Linked DNA regions of Nothobranchius furzeri. The protein of the gene in region 3 purifies or fractionates together with the protein of the main gene of each other region. This does not show direct contact. Links are inferred from orthologs where the notes say so. Each region holds a gene or a part of one and is shown on either strand. Other genes may lie near its edges.

What was found. The genes of interacting proteins can lie anywhere in the genome.
Region 1: the proteins of ubxn6 (region 3) and aspscr1 purify together in Homo sapiens (affinity purification with mass spectrometry; 4 studies listed by BioGRID and IntAct, counting the BioPlex papers as one, with this or other methods). This does not show direct contact. The link is inferred for Nothobranchius furzeri from reciprocal best matches to the Homo sapiens genes UBXN6 and ASPSCR1.
Region 2: the proteins of ubxn6 (region 3) and nploc4 purify together in Homo sapiens (affinity purification with western blotting; 3 studies listed by BioGRID and IntAct, with this or other methods). This does not show direct contact. The link is inferred for Nothobranchius furzeri from reciprocal best matches to the Homo sapiens genes UBXN6 and NPLOC4.

Annotation. Positions count from the first base shown.
Region 1 is NC_091746.1:22,799,205-22,804,340, forward strand, and holds part of aspscr1 (tether containing UBX domain for GLUT4), read right to left. Parts: intron 2,098-5,136; coding exon 2,046-2,097; intron 1,949-2,045; coding exon 1,879-1,948; intron 1,465-1,878; coding exon 1,289-1,464; intron 1-1,288. UniProt on the Homo sapiens protein: Tethering protein that sequesters GLUT4-containing vesicles in the cytoplasm in the absence of insulin. Modulates the amount of GLUT4 that is available at the cell surface. Enhances VCP methylation catalyzed by VCPKMT.
Region 2 is NC_091756.1:53,426,505-53,431,640, forward strand, and holds part of nploc4 (nuclear protein localization protein 4 homolog), read right to left. Parts: intron 4,221-5,136; coding exon 3,981-4,220; intron 3,905-3,980; coding exon 3,856-3,904; intron 3,788-3,855; coding exon 3,693-3,787; intron 3,612-3,692; coding exon 3,488-3,611; intron 3,275-3,487; coding exon 3,095-3,274; intron 2,993-3,094; coding exon 2,906-2,992; intron 2,380-2,905; coding exon 2,308-2,379; intron 2,233-2,307; coding exon 2,106-2,232; intron 937-2,105; coding exon 776-936; intron 616-775; coding exon 544-615; intron 422-543; coding exon 329-421; intron 1-328. UniProt on the Homo sapiens protein: The ternary complex containing UFD1, VCP and NPLOC4 binds ubiquitinated proteins and is necessary for the export of misfolded proteins from the ER to the cytoplasm, where they are degraded by the proteasome.
Region 3 is NC_091748.1:48,270,642-48,275,141, forward strand, and holds part of ubxn6 (UBX domain-containing protein 6), read left to right. Parts: intron 1-1,244; coding exon 1,245-1,309; intron 1,310-1,384; coding exon 1,385-1,513; intron 1,514-1,617; coding exon 1,618-1,715; intron 1,716-3,387; coding exon 3,388-3,463; intron 3,464-3,588; coding exon 3,589-3,673; intron 3,674-3,768; coding exon 3,769-3,988; intron 3,989-4,488; coding exon 4,489-4,500. UniProt on the Homo sapiens protein: May negatively regulate the ATPase activity of VCP, an ATP-driven segregase that associates with different cofactors to control a wide variety of cellular processes.

The sequences.
Region 1 (5,136 bases), on a different chromosome or scaffold from region 3:
TTTGAAGAGGTCTCACAGTACAGGCTGGAAGACCAGTTAAAAGGGCATTGCAGTAATCGAGGCGGGAGATGACAGTAGATTGCACCAGGAGCTGGGTGGCATGTTGTGTTAGGTATGGTCTGATCTTTCGTATGTTATACAGCGCAAAGCGGCATGAATGAGCAACAGAGGCAACATGATCTTTAAAGCTCAGGTGTTCATCAATCACAACACCCAGATTTCGAACTGCCTTTGAAGGAGCCAGAGATAGGAAGTAATTTTGGATTGAGATATTGTGTTCTATGGATGGTTTTGCTGGGATGACACAAGTAGTTCAGTTTTAGAGAGGTTGAGTTGGAGATGGTGGGATTTCATCCATTTTGACATGTCAGATCACTTGCCAAAAATAAATAAAAGTTATGTTGTAAACCACAAATGAGCTGTTTTTTATTGCTCATAAATGAAACGGCAAATAGGGGCAAGATACCACTTTAAAAAACAATTTTCTGTTCCTGTTGTCCAAATTTGAACCGATCCTGAAAAAAGTGTGCAGACTTTTCAGTTATTTATTTGATTCTCAACGCCTTTTTGCTCCATTTCCATGGTTCTTTCAGAACGCTGCTGAGGTGCTAGAACTGATGAGATGAAATCAGAATAAACTCCATGTAAAGCCTGAAAATTGAAATAACAATGAATCTACATTTATTATGTCATTCTGCAACACTAACAGTAAGAATAAAATGTGCCCGTGCCACCAGGGGGCAGTAGACATGTGTAGGAGTGGATAGGGCAGGGTTCTGATGAAGGTACTAATCCTGTTGCTCCGTCTGGAGGGTTTAAGGCCAGAAGTGGTTTGATTTGAAATTGCAAAAATGGATTCAAAGAAGTTAAAAGTCAATAAATAAGCATACTGAATGTTTGTGAAAACAACTAAAAAAACTAAGAAACTAAAAGTTTATGTACATTCTGCATGCAGTAGCATGTTTCTACCACCTGGGGGCAGGGCTAAGGATTTCTGTACCATAACTACAGTGGTGACCTGTGCTTTCCACCAGTCCTTTGTTTTAACTCGTGGTATGTTGGTGTTTGTCTCTGGAAACATGAGCGGCTTTACTTTAGCTTGAGAACGTGTTCTCATTCACAAACCGGCACATCAGGGCTTCATGTTGCAGATGCTGGACTCTAGGGTCGGCGCAAAAACCAACAAAGATGAGTTTTCTAGAGTTTAGTTTGTTAAACAAAAGTGCAGATATTAAATTCATTTGTGTTAATGTTGTGAGTGTGTCCACATGGGACTTTCTGTCCTCACCTGGCAGCTTGAGCCACTTGGGCACTTTGCCTGGGTCTGATCTGACCGGTTTAGCAGCCTGCGGGTGTGCTGATGGGCCTGGGTCTTCCTGTTTGGACCCTTTGGGGTCAGGAAGAGACGCCGCTTCTACAACACCTGCAGAGCTGCAGGAAGCTTCTGGAGAATGGAGCATGCAGCTGATGTAAGGAGACATGAGAAAGAACACATAAAGATAAAAACCGTGACGAAGGAGGAGAGTTGGTGTTTTGCTGATGGATGTTTGTGGATAAAAGGAGGTCCAGATTAGGAGGTAAAAACCTAACGCTGAGGTGGAAAAACAACCTTGCAAATGATGCAAAAGGCCAACAGTTACGGGTCACGCATGGGCTCTATTTTTAGAGCCTGATGCATGGTGTGTGTGTTTGAGAATGTGTGTGTGTGTGTGGAGGAAATGAGGGCGCAGGGGGGCACCTGCTGTTAGGCAGAACCTCAAAGGGATTCCACTGATGACAGCTTTGTGACAGGAAAATAGGCTGGTTGCCGCGGGATACAAGTACATAAATAAACACACAGGCAGGCACGCACGCACGCGTGCACGCACGCACACACACCTTTTTATGGACTGGTTTGCCTGGGAGGCCGACACAGACGTTTCCAGCAGCTCCTTCTTGATGTAAAAATCTGTGGAGCAGAAAAACTACGGTTGTTTTTATTACTTTCCACAGATTCACGTCTTTTTACGTCAGATCAGACAGAAAATAAAGAAACGGACAAGAACCTGTCTTGATGTCGGAGCCGAAGTACACCAGAGCACCAGGAAACAAGTCGGCCTGCAGACAGAGAGGGGTAAACAGGAGCCTCCAAACAAACAATAACAACAAACAAACATCTTGCTACACGTAAACCAGCAGCTGAAGACCAATCCAGCGCGTTTCTGGGGATGATTCACTGCTCAGGGATTTGAACCAGTAACCACAGGTTCTTTGAAGAAGACCACAAAATAAGCACCAATCAAATGGTTAGAGAAAACACTTTCGCCCCCGAAGCATCGCATTCCTCCACCAGAGACTTAATGGCTGTAATGGACCAGTCACGGGCAGATGTTTCATCAAGCGGACAATTAGGAGGTGAGAAGACAGACAGGCAGCAGAGCGGCCGGATGGACGACGGGCGTCTGTCAGCCCAACAGAGCAGGAACAAAAACAAAACATTCCTTCTACACGAGAAAACTACAAAAAGTCTAGAAATGACAAAAGCAGCAACACCATCACATCCAAAACAGCTCACTGACCAGAGAAATGAGTGTTTATGGGATTTCTGGGATCCTTTCAGGATTTTATTAGGATTTGTCAAACAGAAAATAAAAGGATTCAGGAAAACTGAATTATTCGTTAAGGCTTCTCCTGATGTGAGGAAGCTCATTTCCACAGAAAAGCATCTATTCTCAGCCATGAAATCCTTAAAAGAGCAGAAACCTGCTCTGCTTAGGTTTTACGTCTACATGGAAACTCGGATGGTCTCAGGAGGAAAACAAGTTTGTTTCTCTTTTACTGTTAATTCAATCAAAGCCTCTGAAAGCACGATTCTTCTTCCAGCTTGTCGGACCTTTTTCTGGGCTGTTTGAAGGGTAAAACCCAGGAATTCTGCAGTAAAAACGACTTGTTTTCTTATTGTTTTCCCTCTTATATCCCATCGTTCCTGAAAATCCACAGACGGTATCAGCTTTAAAAAAGGGAGCCTAAGCCACGCCCATCTACTTTGAGACCCTAAACCTACAGCTGAAACCCACAGGGGGGAGTTGGTCTTGAGGTGTGCCATGGGGTAAGATGTGACGTCCGTGAACTTTAAAGACACATTTTGATGCTTAGAAAGTGCTGATTGTCCACAACAGGAGACTCCAAACGTTTGTCTCAGTAAAGTAACATCATCAAACCAGACACGGAGAAGAGAAGTTTAGTTTAGCGAGCTTCACACGTCCTTCCAGGACAACAGGAGGAGCATCAAATGTGGAGAAAAACACCAGAAATCCAGTCATGTGGCCAGTAGCAGCTACGCTGGAGATAAGGAGGTTGTGGTGTGACGTCATAGATGACACGACTGATTGGTAGTCACAATACTTTACCAACTGTTACATCCTGATTAATCTCAGATTATGCGACAGAGTCAAAATTCACATTTAAAATGAAGGACAGGTGCTGGTCCTAAAATGAGAACATCTTCATGACAAAGTTTATTTATGTCAGTAATTCTATTCAAAAAGTGAAACTTGCACATTAGATTAATTCATCACACACAGACTGATGTATTCCAAATGTTTATTTCTTTAATGTTGATGATTATAACTGACCAACTAATGAAAATACCTAATTCAGTATCTCAGATAATTAGAATAATGTGAAAAGCTTCAATACTGAAGACCCCTGGTGTTGCACTCCAGTCAGCTGATTAACCCTGCAGAGCCTTTAAATGGCCTGGGTCTAGCTCTGCAGGCTGCAGTCATGGGGATGACTGCTGACTAGACACTTGTCCCAACGACGACCCGTGACACTTGCACAAGGACGGAAAACACTAAAGGTAAAGAGGCTGGCTGTTCACGGAGCTGTGTCCAAACACATGAACAGAGGTGAAGGAAGGACAAGATGTGGTAGAAAAAACAACTTTAAAATTTGTTTTAGACGTTAAGGCAGTCCCGGAAACTACCCGTACGTCTTGGTCTGTTGCGGTGTCGAGTTGACTGAGGCGCGTGACACCATTGGGCACGCTGGCTCGTACTCGTTGACTGAAAGCTCCCCCTGGTGGAAAAACAGCGCTATTGGCCAAGGCGGTGGGCTCTCAGAAATGATTCGCTTAGCTGTAGGGGGGAGGGGCTTAAGAGAAAAATTAAATAAGCAAGACTATTTGTATTTTCTCCTAAAACTGGGTCAAAGAGTCAAACTTAAGGATTTTTAAAGTTATTTAACTATTCAAATGTACACACTACACCTTTAACCCCGTAGAAAATCTGTGGGGTGTTGTGAAGAAGATGCAACACGCCAGACCAGACAGTTCAGAAGAGCTGAAGGCCACCATCAGAGCAACAGCGCCACAGACTGATGGACTCCATGTCACACCGCATAGCTGCAGCAATCCAGGCTGAAGGTACCCTTCACATTTACCTGCTCATACTTCTCAGCTGGCCAACATTTCTAACATTGCTCTTAGTAGATATCCTGATTTTCTGAGATACTGAATTAGGGATTTTCAGTAGTTGTCAGTTATAATCATCAACATTAAAGAAACAAACATTTGAAACACACTACCAGTCAGAAGTTTTAGAACGCCCCAATTTTTCCCAGTTTTTTATTGGAAACGATGCAGTTTAAAGTCACATTGCATTCTGAAATGAAAGCATGGTACAAATAAGCAATTGGAGTTAAAAAGAAATCATGGAATCCATTTATAGACCAAAATGTGTTCTAAACGTTTGACTCATCACAGTAGCCACCTTTGGCAGACATAACAGCTGAACACACTCGTGGCATTCTTTCTACAACAGAAATCAATCGTTCTTCAGAAAGTTCTTCCATATCTGTTGCAGAAGTTCCCATTAATGTGTGGCACTTGTAGGTTGCTTTGCGTTCACTCTTCAGTCCAGTACATCCCAAACCAGCTCCATGGGGTTTAAGTCTGGAGACCTGAGGTAGTTCTGGCGTCGCTTGGACTTGTGTTTTGGGCCATTATCTTGCTGTAGAATGAACCCCTGACCAACTAGGTGCATACCAGAGGGGACTGCGTGGTGCTGGAGAATGCTGTGGTAGCCGTTTTGGTTCAGCATGCCTCACCCTCTGTATTAGTCACTGACCCTGGATCCAGCAAAACAGCCCCAGACC
Region 2 (5,136 bases), on a different chromosome or scaffold from region 3:
ACTGAGAGCACCACAAGTGACATCATATCTTAACATAGTCGTGATAAACATTAAGGTTGTGTTCATTTACACATCGACACTCCCAGCTAATTTTTAAACTGAAGTTTTAAACAGCTGCATTGCTAATATGTACAATCCTGACATCTTCTAATATTCAGTTTAACTATTTTCTAAAGGACTGCATTTGGTTTCTTAATTGGTTTTATGATGATGCATCTAGAACTGTCAGCTGAAGTGAAACAAACCAGCTCATTCAAATGTTCTTTCCTGTCTCCTGTCTAAAAGTCTCTAAATCTGGAAACCTGCGTTTAAACTGAAGAGTGCTTACTTGCGTCTCTCCAAGAATATCTCGGTTTTCGATGGGGAAGCGTTGAGTGGAGGTGAAGGTGTACTGAGGGTCCTTTGGAAAGGTTGTGGTTATCTGGGAGGAAACGCGTATAAAAGAGCAAAATCAGATCCAAAAACTATGCCTGCACAAGCAGAGACTTTAACAGAGAATAAATCCAACAAGTGTGAAACAGAAAATGAAGACATCAGACTCACATCTATGATAAGATACTCTACAGGAAGAGGTCGAGCTAGAAACGTCACGTCATTTCCAAATTTGTCTTTGTCCTGTTGAATAAAACATTCACATATAAACAGACCCCAAACTAACCACCTGAAATCAACAACGTTGCCACAAAGAACAGGTGAGTCACTTTTTCTGATAAATCCAACCAGAGGCTGTGTTTAGTTTTTAGAAGAGTAGTGTTTCATCGGAGGAAAGTCTCACCTTGTAGAAGACATCTGGTACGTACTGCTCAGGGCTCGACTCCTTGGCGTAGCCCAGCTCCGGGGCATCTTTACAGGGCAGCAGGCACTCATCCCGTACCAGAGCCATGCACTGGTTGGATACCTGGTATCCTTCAAAGTGCACCTGGTTATCTGGACCACCTTCACGAGGAACAGTCGTACAAATGTAAAGTGTAAAAGCAGTGATGATGAGGGAAGAAGCAGCAGCTCTAGAACTGAAACATGTCTGTTTTACTTCATACCGACAAATTAAAACAAAGTCTACCGGACAAGAGAAGAAACACATAAGTTCCACTAAATGCTTCGACATTACTGGAACATCCAGAGCCTTACCAACATTACTCATATGAAAACACACACACAAGGGAAAGTTAAGGAGATGGATTTCATCCTGGCAGTCGAGAGATGTGCAACCACGATGTGAGCTTTGGCCGACAGCTGTTCTTTCACACAAATACAACTGATGAGGTCACTGATGACTTTGGGCTCCATCCACATTCTCCCATCGGCCAAAGATGGGGCATAATAAACACTTAATTTTCACACTGGTAACAACAGCTCTGATCCCTTTAAATGAGGGCAATGTTTGAATCAGTGGTGCAAAGGCTCATGGGACGGTTCATGTGTTGAGCCTGGTTTATGCTTCTCCGTCAGCTCCGCAAGGGACAGACACGCACGGACTGACGGAAGCGTTTTGCTCTCATACTTCTCCGTCTCCTGGAGTGTTGCAAAGCAATTCCCCGGCAGGACAACAGAGGGCGTAGCGCTGTTCTGTGGTATCCTGTCATGTATCGGTCCAAGATCGTGTGTTTATATTGTGTGTTTTGTGTATATAAGAGACTTTTAACACGGACATATTTGTCTCTCATTCTCCCACCGCTTCATGCGCTCCCCACCTCTAAACCCACGTTTCCTGTCATTTCCGTCCACAAATAAAATGCTTGCTGCGCATCTTTTCACTCCTCCAGTCACGGGAGAATTAAACGTTCATATTTTTAGAGTTTTTTCGCGAGATATTCTTCAAGCTTCCCCGTGTCTGCCGCTAGTTATCCTCGGCTCTCTTTGCAATGGCGGCGCTGTAAATAACAGCGGCGTCCTGACCAATCACAAGCTTGCGTAATCCATCTCGTTCGACGGATGCTTAAAAAAGTGGGCTCTACTCCGTACGTACTTGCGTGCCCTACGCAAGGACGGATAATGGCGTTGCGTGTCTCCGCACTGACGCAGACGGAGAAGCATAAATCAGGCTTTAGTGTTTGGAGGACAAAGTTGGTCCGGTATGTCCGAGGACAGCGGTTAAACTGAATTACCTGTTGCAACAACGGTCACAAACTTGGACCCGAAGTATCCGTCTCGAGAGAGTCTGCAGGAGTTTGAATGTTGGTTCTGGAAGAATCCAGCCGTGATGCACTCCTCTGCACTCAGGTAGTGTGAGTCCTGACGGTTGGATGAAGGTATTTATGTCAGATGGAGGAAAGCAGGTTTAGTCTGGCCAACAGAGTGCATTCTCACCTTGTTTCTTGTGTAGCGGACAGTACCTATCCTCATATCCTCAGACAGCAGGTCAGTGAAGATCCAGCCCACCTACATCACAAGAACAACTTGGATTAGACCAACTAAAGATTTGTGCAGAGATTATACAAAATTAGAGAAAAATTGTAGAAACAACACATCAAATTTCAACTATTTCAACTATTTGCTACAGTAAGATTCTATATAAAAAGCATATAATCATAAAAAAATATTAAAGAGTCCAACTGTTTAAGGTGAAATTACTCAAATACTTTTCTCTAACCTTAAGTTGGCTGCTCCAGAGGGTAATTAGTGAAATATGTATACTGTGGATGAAAAGTCTGAATAAAGTTTTTTACGTCTCCTGGTGTGTAAGAGCAGCTGCCTGAAAACTGCTTTCCCCAAAGTTTAAACATTGAACACAAACCTTTTATAATACATAATAAGAAGTCCCTTATTTCCTGCATATCTGTGGTTCAGTATGTTTGTTTAAATGAAGAGAATGTGTTTGAAGAATGGCATTAACTTGTAAACAAACCAGCAAGGCATGAAATCCCTCAAATAACCCAACCGAACACCCAGTAAGTGAGGAACCAACCTTGCAGAGGCCCAGCTTGGCAGCGATTTCATCTACAGCTGCAGCCTTGGGATCCTCCAGCAGTTCCAGGCTGTTCTGGGTAGCACTCTGAAACACCAACCAGACCAGAAAAGCACATTTAAAAACTGATCAGAAGACATGGCTGAGTAAATAACTTGAGCAGACACATGTTCAGCAGGACCGTCTCACCTGTGGGGGCTCATAGATGGCAGCTACCTCCGCTCTAATGCCCAGAGGGATGTCTGTGTGTTCGGTGTACCGACCGTACAAGTAGCCCATCCTCTGGCTGCCCGTTTTCCTCCAGAAGTCCAGGAAGCGGTCGGCAGTAGTGTGGTTCTCAAACATGATGTTGTCCACATGTCTGTATTTCTAGGAACAGAAAACAGCCATTTAGGATTACACATGTACGCACGCACGCACACACACTTTCAGCCCACCAAGTCAGCTGAGAGATTTATTAACGTTTGAAAATCAAAGTATCAGATTAATATAGATGCCAACATAAACAACCAGGATTAGTACTCAGTAATGATCTTCACCAAATAGAATTAACAGAATCTTTTCGCCCAAATGGGGTCGTACCTGTCTGTTGAGAGTGATGGCACTTGGCTGACACTTAGTACAGATCCCCTCAGGCCAGGGAGGATGACCCTCACAGCCCGACTTTATCTTACAGCTAATGTTCTCTAAAGCTGCAAACTTCCCTCTGCAGGAGATCAGAACCAAGTCAGAATCTGACAGAAATCAGGAGCGAATCAGGTGGATGAATTCAAAACAAACCCCTCACTTATCAGCTCCACCGGTCAGCTTGCGAAGGTACGCGTGAAATGACATGTGCTTCACTGGTGGGTCGAGGTGATTCAGGTAGTCTTCATCAAAGGGCTGGGGGGAGCAAACCATTTAGGGCGGATGGTGTTAAAATTTCAACCATGAAGAATAAGAGTAGTTACCTCTAACGGTACACAGTGCACACATTTTCCAAGGGAGCCATGACGACATCTAAAACAAAGAGAACGCCAGTGAATTTTCTGTATCTGCATGTTCCTTGGTTGTGAGGAGCTGGTCTTGTTCTTACAGCTGAGGGTCTCTGTTCCTGTAGATCTTGCCATCTTGCTTGGTCAGATACTGATCGATCTCATCCTCTTGGACCTGGGGTGCTGAAGTGGACCGAGGGATCAAGGAGGATGAGGAGGAAGATGAAGAAGTGGATGAGACGGAGGTGACAGATGAAGATGTGTGTGTGGTGGCTGTGTCCATAACCTCCCCAGAAGAGGCGGAAGAAGCAGAGGGGAACAGAAACAACATGTCTCCATGCCTGCAGAAGAAAAAATTTAACTGAATAATCAAGGACTAAAATAAGGAATTACAACAAGAAGGAAAACTGGGTCATCCGCAGCCACATTAAAAGAAAAACTCCACTGATGAAAAATTAGCTTTTCTTATAAACGTTCTTTAAAGGTTCTTTTGAGAAATACCCCAAACCCGTTTTTGGCTGCATTCATGCATTTTCCTGTCTCAGTTTCAATTGGGCCAGGTAGAGATTTTTCCTGCATCCAGGAGAAAGCAGCCCACTTGCATCATCAGGCATTTCTCCTTCCTCTGAAGCTGGTCTGGTCTCGGTTCTGAAACCTGGATATTCTGACAAATTACTTCTGCATTGGTCACAAAACACCACCGTAAAAATCATGCCTCCTGTCTACAAAGATGCATGTAAAGACCAGGGGCCTCATTTATCAAGCTTGCTTACGCACAAAACGGGGTCGGAAAACTGCGTAAGCAACTTTCCATGCAAACTTTGGGATTTATGAAAGAAAACTTAGTGGAAAAATGTGCACAACTTTAAGTTGACTGAGGACCTGGCTTACGCACGTGTTGGACATGGAGCGCACCTACAGTGCTGCTGCTGAGAAGGATAAAATTATGAAATCCTGCAGCATTATCACTTGTACTGCTTCGTTTTCACACAGAACAAGACCCCCCACACGCACACACACACACAGCCTGAAGAGCAGAATACGGAATACAGAATATCAGCAGGGGGACAGATTGAGACAGAATGTCATACGTCTGTGACAGTGTGTGTGTGTCCTGTCACTGTGACCCGATTGATCATGCGCCCTGGCTTCTTGCACAAGGGAGATCTCCGTTTGGGTGACTAGTTAGCGCGTGTGACTTTCACCCGGGAGTCTGGGGATCAATCCCGATCGGACCATTTTTTTTTATCCCCGCCA
Region 3 (4,500 bases):
GGTATGCTATGATGTCAACTGGTACCATATGATGTCACAGTGTCGTTGTGAGCCTGTGTGTGTGTGTGTGTGTGTGTGTGTGTGTGTGTGTGTGTGTGTGTGTGTGTGTGTGTGTGTGTGTGTGTGTGTGTGTGTGTGTGTGTGTGTGTTAGCGGCTCCGCCCTCTCGGTTTGATAAGCAACAGCATTTGTTGCATTTTTCAAACAGGAAGTGGGAGTGAGGTAAGTTTCTTGTAGGGGTGACTTGCTCTTTAAGGTCAGGAACTTGTTCGGGCAGTCCGATGATGTTGCAGAATATGATTTAAATGTACTTTTACGTTCACTAATAACCTCTGCATAATAAATATTCTAAATTAACTTTATTTAGGTGTCTGACTTTAACACTGAGCAGTGCACAAACAATTAGTTAAATTCAGAGTTTAAAAACTGATTCAGCTTCTGATGTTCTGCATTTTAGTGTGAAAATAAGGTGGAAAATGTCTCTATCAGCCTTGAAGATCACCAGTACATGTCAGTTACTGGCTGACCATGTCTCCTACATATCTGCTTCGGTGCTGGCAACACAATATCGGTCTACCTCTAGTGTGAATTATCACTAATGTAAGGTTTTCATTAAGTAATTACATTTCATTTGTTTAACACCATCCATAGAAAAAATGCAGATAAAAAAGGTAATCTTGTTCTGTAATTACTTGATTTGTAAGACTTTCTCTATCTTCCAGACTGTTAAGTTGTTGCACTTTTTGTTAAAAAGTACCTGATCATGTAAAGTCCACAAACAATAATTATAAAATTAACCAGTGAAGGTATGACATATTATTAAAGGAATCATGTGTTGTTGTTTAGAGAAAATAAAAGCATGAATAATAATAATAATAATAATAATAATGTTTTGACACCAGCCTTTCAAATTTGAACTTTTTAAAAATAGAAATAATTTTCAGAGACTTGACCAAACAGCTGAGATTCTTGTTATTACTAATTCTAATAATGACCAAGCTTTTGATGTCTGACATGGTTAAATATGACAGACTGTTTAATTCAGATGAACTTGACTGTAGTTTCAGTGCTTAAACCATTCAAAGTTGATCATCTGTTATCTAACTGGCGTGCAATGAGCTCTACTGCAGCAGACAGAAAAAAACAAGGCAGTGGTTGTTTTTGTTTATCTTTCTGATGTGTTGACATTAAACGGATGCTGATGTCAGCAAACATCGTTTGTTTGCTTGTTTTTTCTGTTTCTAGTTAAAAGGGAACTGGAGGCTGAGGCGGCCGCAGTGGCTGAAAAAGCAAAAGCAGCATCAGCCGAGGTCTGGGCTGGCTCTAGCGACACAACTTTTCCATTTTATTTAACTCCATAAATGACTGGATGAATTTATGTTCAGGGATCCGGAGTTCCAGTGAAAGATTTTGCCTGCCTCTCCGTGTCGGGTGTTTATTTCACCTGTCCTCTCACTGGAGCCACGCTAACGAAAAGTCAGAGGGAGGTGCACCTTAAGGAGGCCATTTTCATGGTACGTCTGTTGGAGCATGGCTTTATTTTTTATCAACATAATAATGAGATTAAAGCTAATCCTGCTGGTTTTGTTGGTGAAATAATCTCTGTTTCTACCATCAGCGCTTTGAGGAGGATGCAGTGGAGGCTTCTGTTATGATGATCCACACGTTTAACAAAGACAGAGACAAAGTGAAGACTGCTGTGGACATTATTAGCAAGTAAGTCGGTTATAGCAGGGTTTGGTGCGGTGTGGGTCATCATGGACCAGCTTTTCAGGCGAGCGTTTCTATCGCAGTTTGGGCTCTCATGTTGGCAGGCAGGGTTAAACGAACCGTCATACGCAATTAAAAAAAAAGTTGTGCAGCTATTCTGTATTTTTGTGCTGCAATAAATGGTCTGCTGAGCTAAAGACAGAAATAAATGCTTACCAACAGACTCCACAAGTAACTTCAGTGTGTGTTTCTCCCATTTCCACCCTGAAAAAAAAATCCACTCCGGCTTTTTCTGTCCTAACCTTTCTACACGGGGCTTACATTTCTTCAGCTTGGCCCCGTTCCGACGTCCGCTGGAATCCTTCGGCTGCCATCCACTGAGAAACAAAACGTATTACAATCCTTACCGATCCTTCTAGCTCAGGGGTGTCACACTCGCACGGGGCCGAGATGAAACTCTGGGACGGAGTCGAGGGCCAAACTTCATATTTTTTTGAAAAAGTGACGGCAAATTTGCACATTTTCTTTATCAACATATATGCAATTTTGAACCTTTAAATTTGGAAACAAACATATTTCTGCATTAACACTGAATGTGGAATAACCAAATTACACACGAGCAAGTCAGTTTTAAATAAAACGCATCAGTGGTATTTATTACTTGTGGTATAATCAGCATTTTATAAATCTATTCAGGATTTATGTTTTCTTGTTTATTCATTTTTCTTATTTTTTATTCTCCCTTTTTCCTCCTGTAATACGTGTCATCGCTGCTGTGACGTCTAGCTTTCCCCACTGAGGAACAATAAAGGGATTTTCTATTCTATTCATCTATCTGCAGCCTTTCCACTTCCTGTTTACTGTAGGTTAAATCTTTTCTCACGGGCCAACAACAAAATAAAAATATCATTTTATCTTAAATGAAAATGCAACATCTCACCTGTTAACTTTCATGTTTTGGAGCAGAAAAAGAGCATAAAGCCAACATCGGACTGACAAAAACTAGAACAGTTCTTGTATGTGAAGCCATATCTGTTTGTATTAATGTGGAGTTCGTCTGTATATTTCCTTCGTTGTTATCTAAATACTTTCTTTGACTCAAAATATTGCTTGGTGTCTTTCAATAAAGTTCTTATATGTAATTTTGCCCCATTTCTTCAACATCAAGAGCTTTTGAGGGTCACCGTTTATCATTTGCTTATATTTAACATTTCCTCTAGAAATTTAAACATATTTTCTCCAAAAAGGGTTGATTTTTGGACTACAGGGCTACAACCGCAAATTTGTTCTGACCAATCAAAATCAAAACGTGATAACGTCACTTCCTTAAGCTTCATGTTCAGCCAATCAACTACTTTGATGTCATCGGCAGTCGAAGGACCCCGAGCCGATCCTGCACCCGAGCCGATCCTGTACTGACACCGGCAGCAGACGCTGGAAAAAACACAAAGGAGGGGGCGGTTCGGCTCTGCGCTAATGCCGCAAAGCATCATGGGAGTTGTAGTCTTTGCTGTAAAATCGCCCTAAAAGGTAGCGCGCCGATCCTCCCCGTTGTGTGCCAAAACGGTCGAGGGAAATGAGGCTTTAGGACGGGTATTAGGCTTTTACCTCAACATCTTTATAATATTTTCAGCTGCTTTTATATTTTACTTAGATTTTTTTAATTGTTTGATGACAGGTATGTTGAGAACATCTGTAAAAACCCCACAGAGGAGAAATACAGGAAGATTAAAGTCAGTAACAAGGTGTTTCAGGTGAGTTTGAGACCAGCTTCCTGTGCCCCGTGTTTCTTTCCTGTCTGGCTCTGGGCTGATCGTTTAGGAAAGGCTGTACATCAGACAGTGTTGTATATTTAATATGATTCCTCGTTTTGTTTTAGGAGAAAGTGCTTCCTGTTGAAGGCAGTCGAGAGTTTCTGCAGGCTTTGGGTTTCATCAGTGTTATGCTTCCTGTGGAGGGCCAAGGTAAAGGAGTGGTCCTTTTGTTTTTTTATAAATTTGTCTGAGAGAGATCGGTGTTATTACGTGCACTTGCTTTTTTCACTTTCACTGGCGATCAGAGGAGGACGAGGAGTTCCTGGTGTTACCAGAGCAGAGCCCCGATGCCCTGGAGCTGATGAAGGAGAGAAGAGATCGTCTTCAGAAAGGACAACCGGTCAGAGCTCAGCTGGACCGGCAGCCTCAGGCGTTCAGACCATCTCCTAACGCTCAGAAATTCGAGCTGCCGTCGGAGTTCTACAATCTGACAGCAGAGGAGCTGAAGAGGGAACAACAGCTCAGGTACCGGGTTAGATACACAAATCCACCTCAGGCTGCTTCTAGCCGTCAGTCAGAGCGGGTACTGAACACACCTGTGCAGCGCCAGGCTAAAGACCAGAGGCGACAGATCATTTGCTGCTGTGGCCCCCAGACTCTTGAACTCTCTCCCCCTGAGCCTGAGATCAGTGGACTCAGTGGTCTCCTTTAAAACGCAGCAGAAACCTCACTTGTTCAGGCTGGTTTTGGTGTGACCTTCATGACCCTCTCATTGTTCTGCTCTCCCCACCTATTCCACCTTCCTCAGGATCCACTCATTTCCCTCTTATCTATTCACTCTCTTTCTTTTCATTTTTAATCGCAATTGTCTATTTTTTTGCTCATTTAAAATATATTGTTAACAATTTTCTAAATAATTTTTGATATTTTTACATTATTTGTTTTTGTGAAGCGCCTCGTGATTTTTATCTTGAGAGGCGCTATAGAAAAGATCTCTTCTTTTTCTACCTTTATGTGTTTCCCAGGAGCGAGCTGGT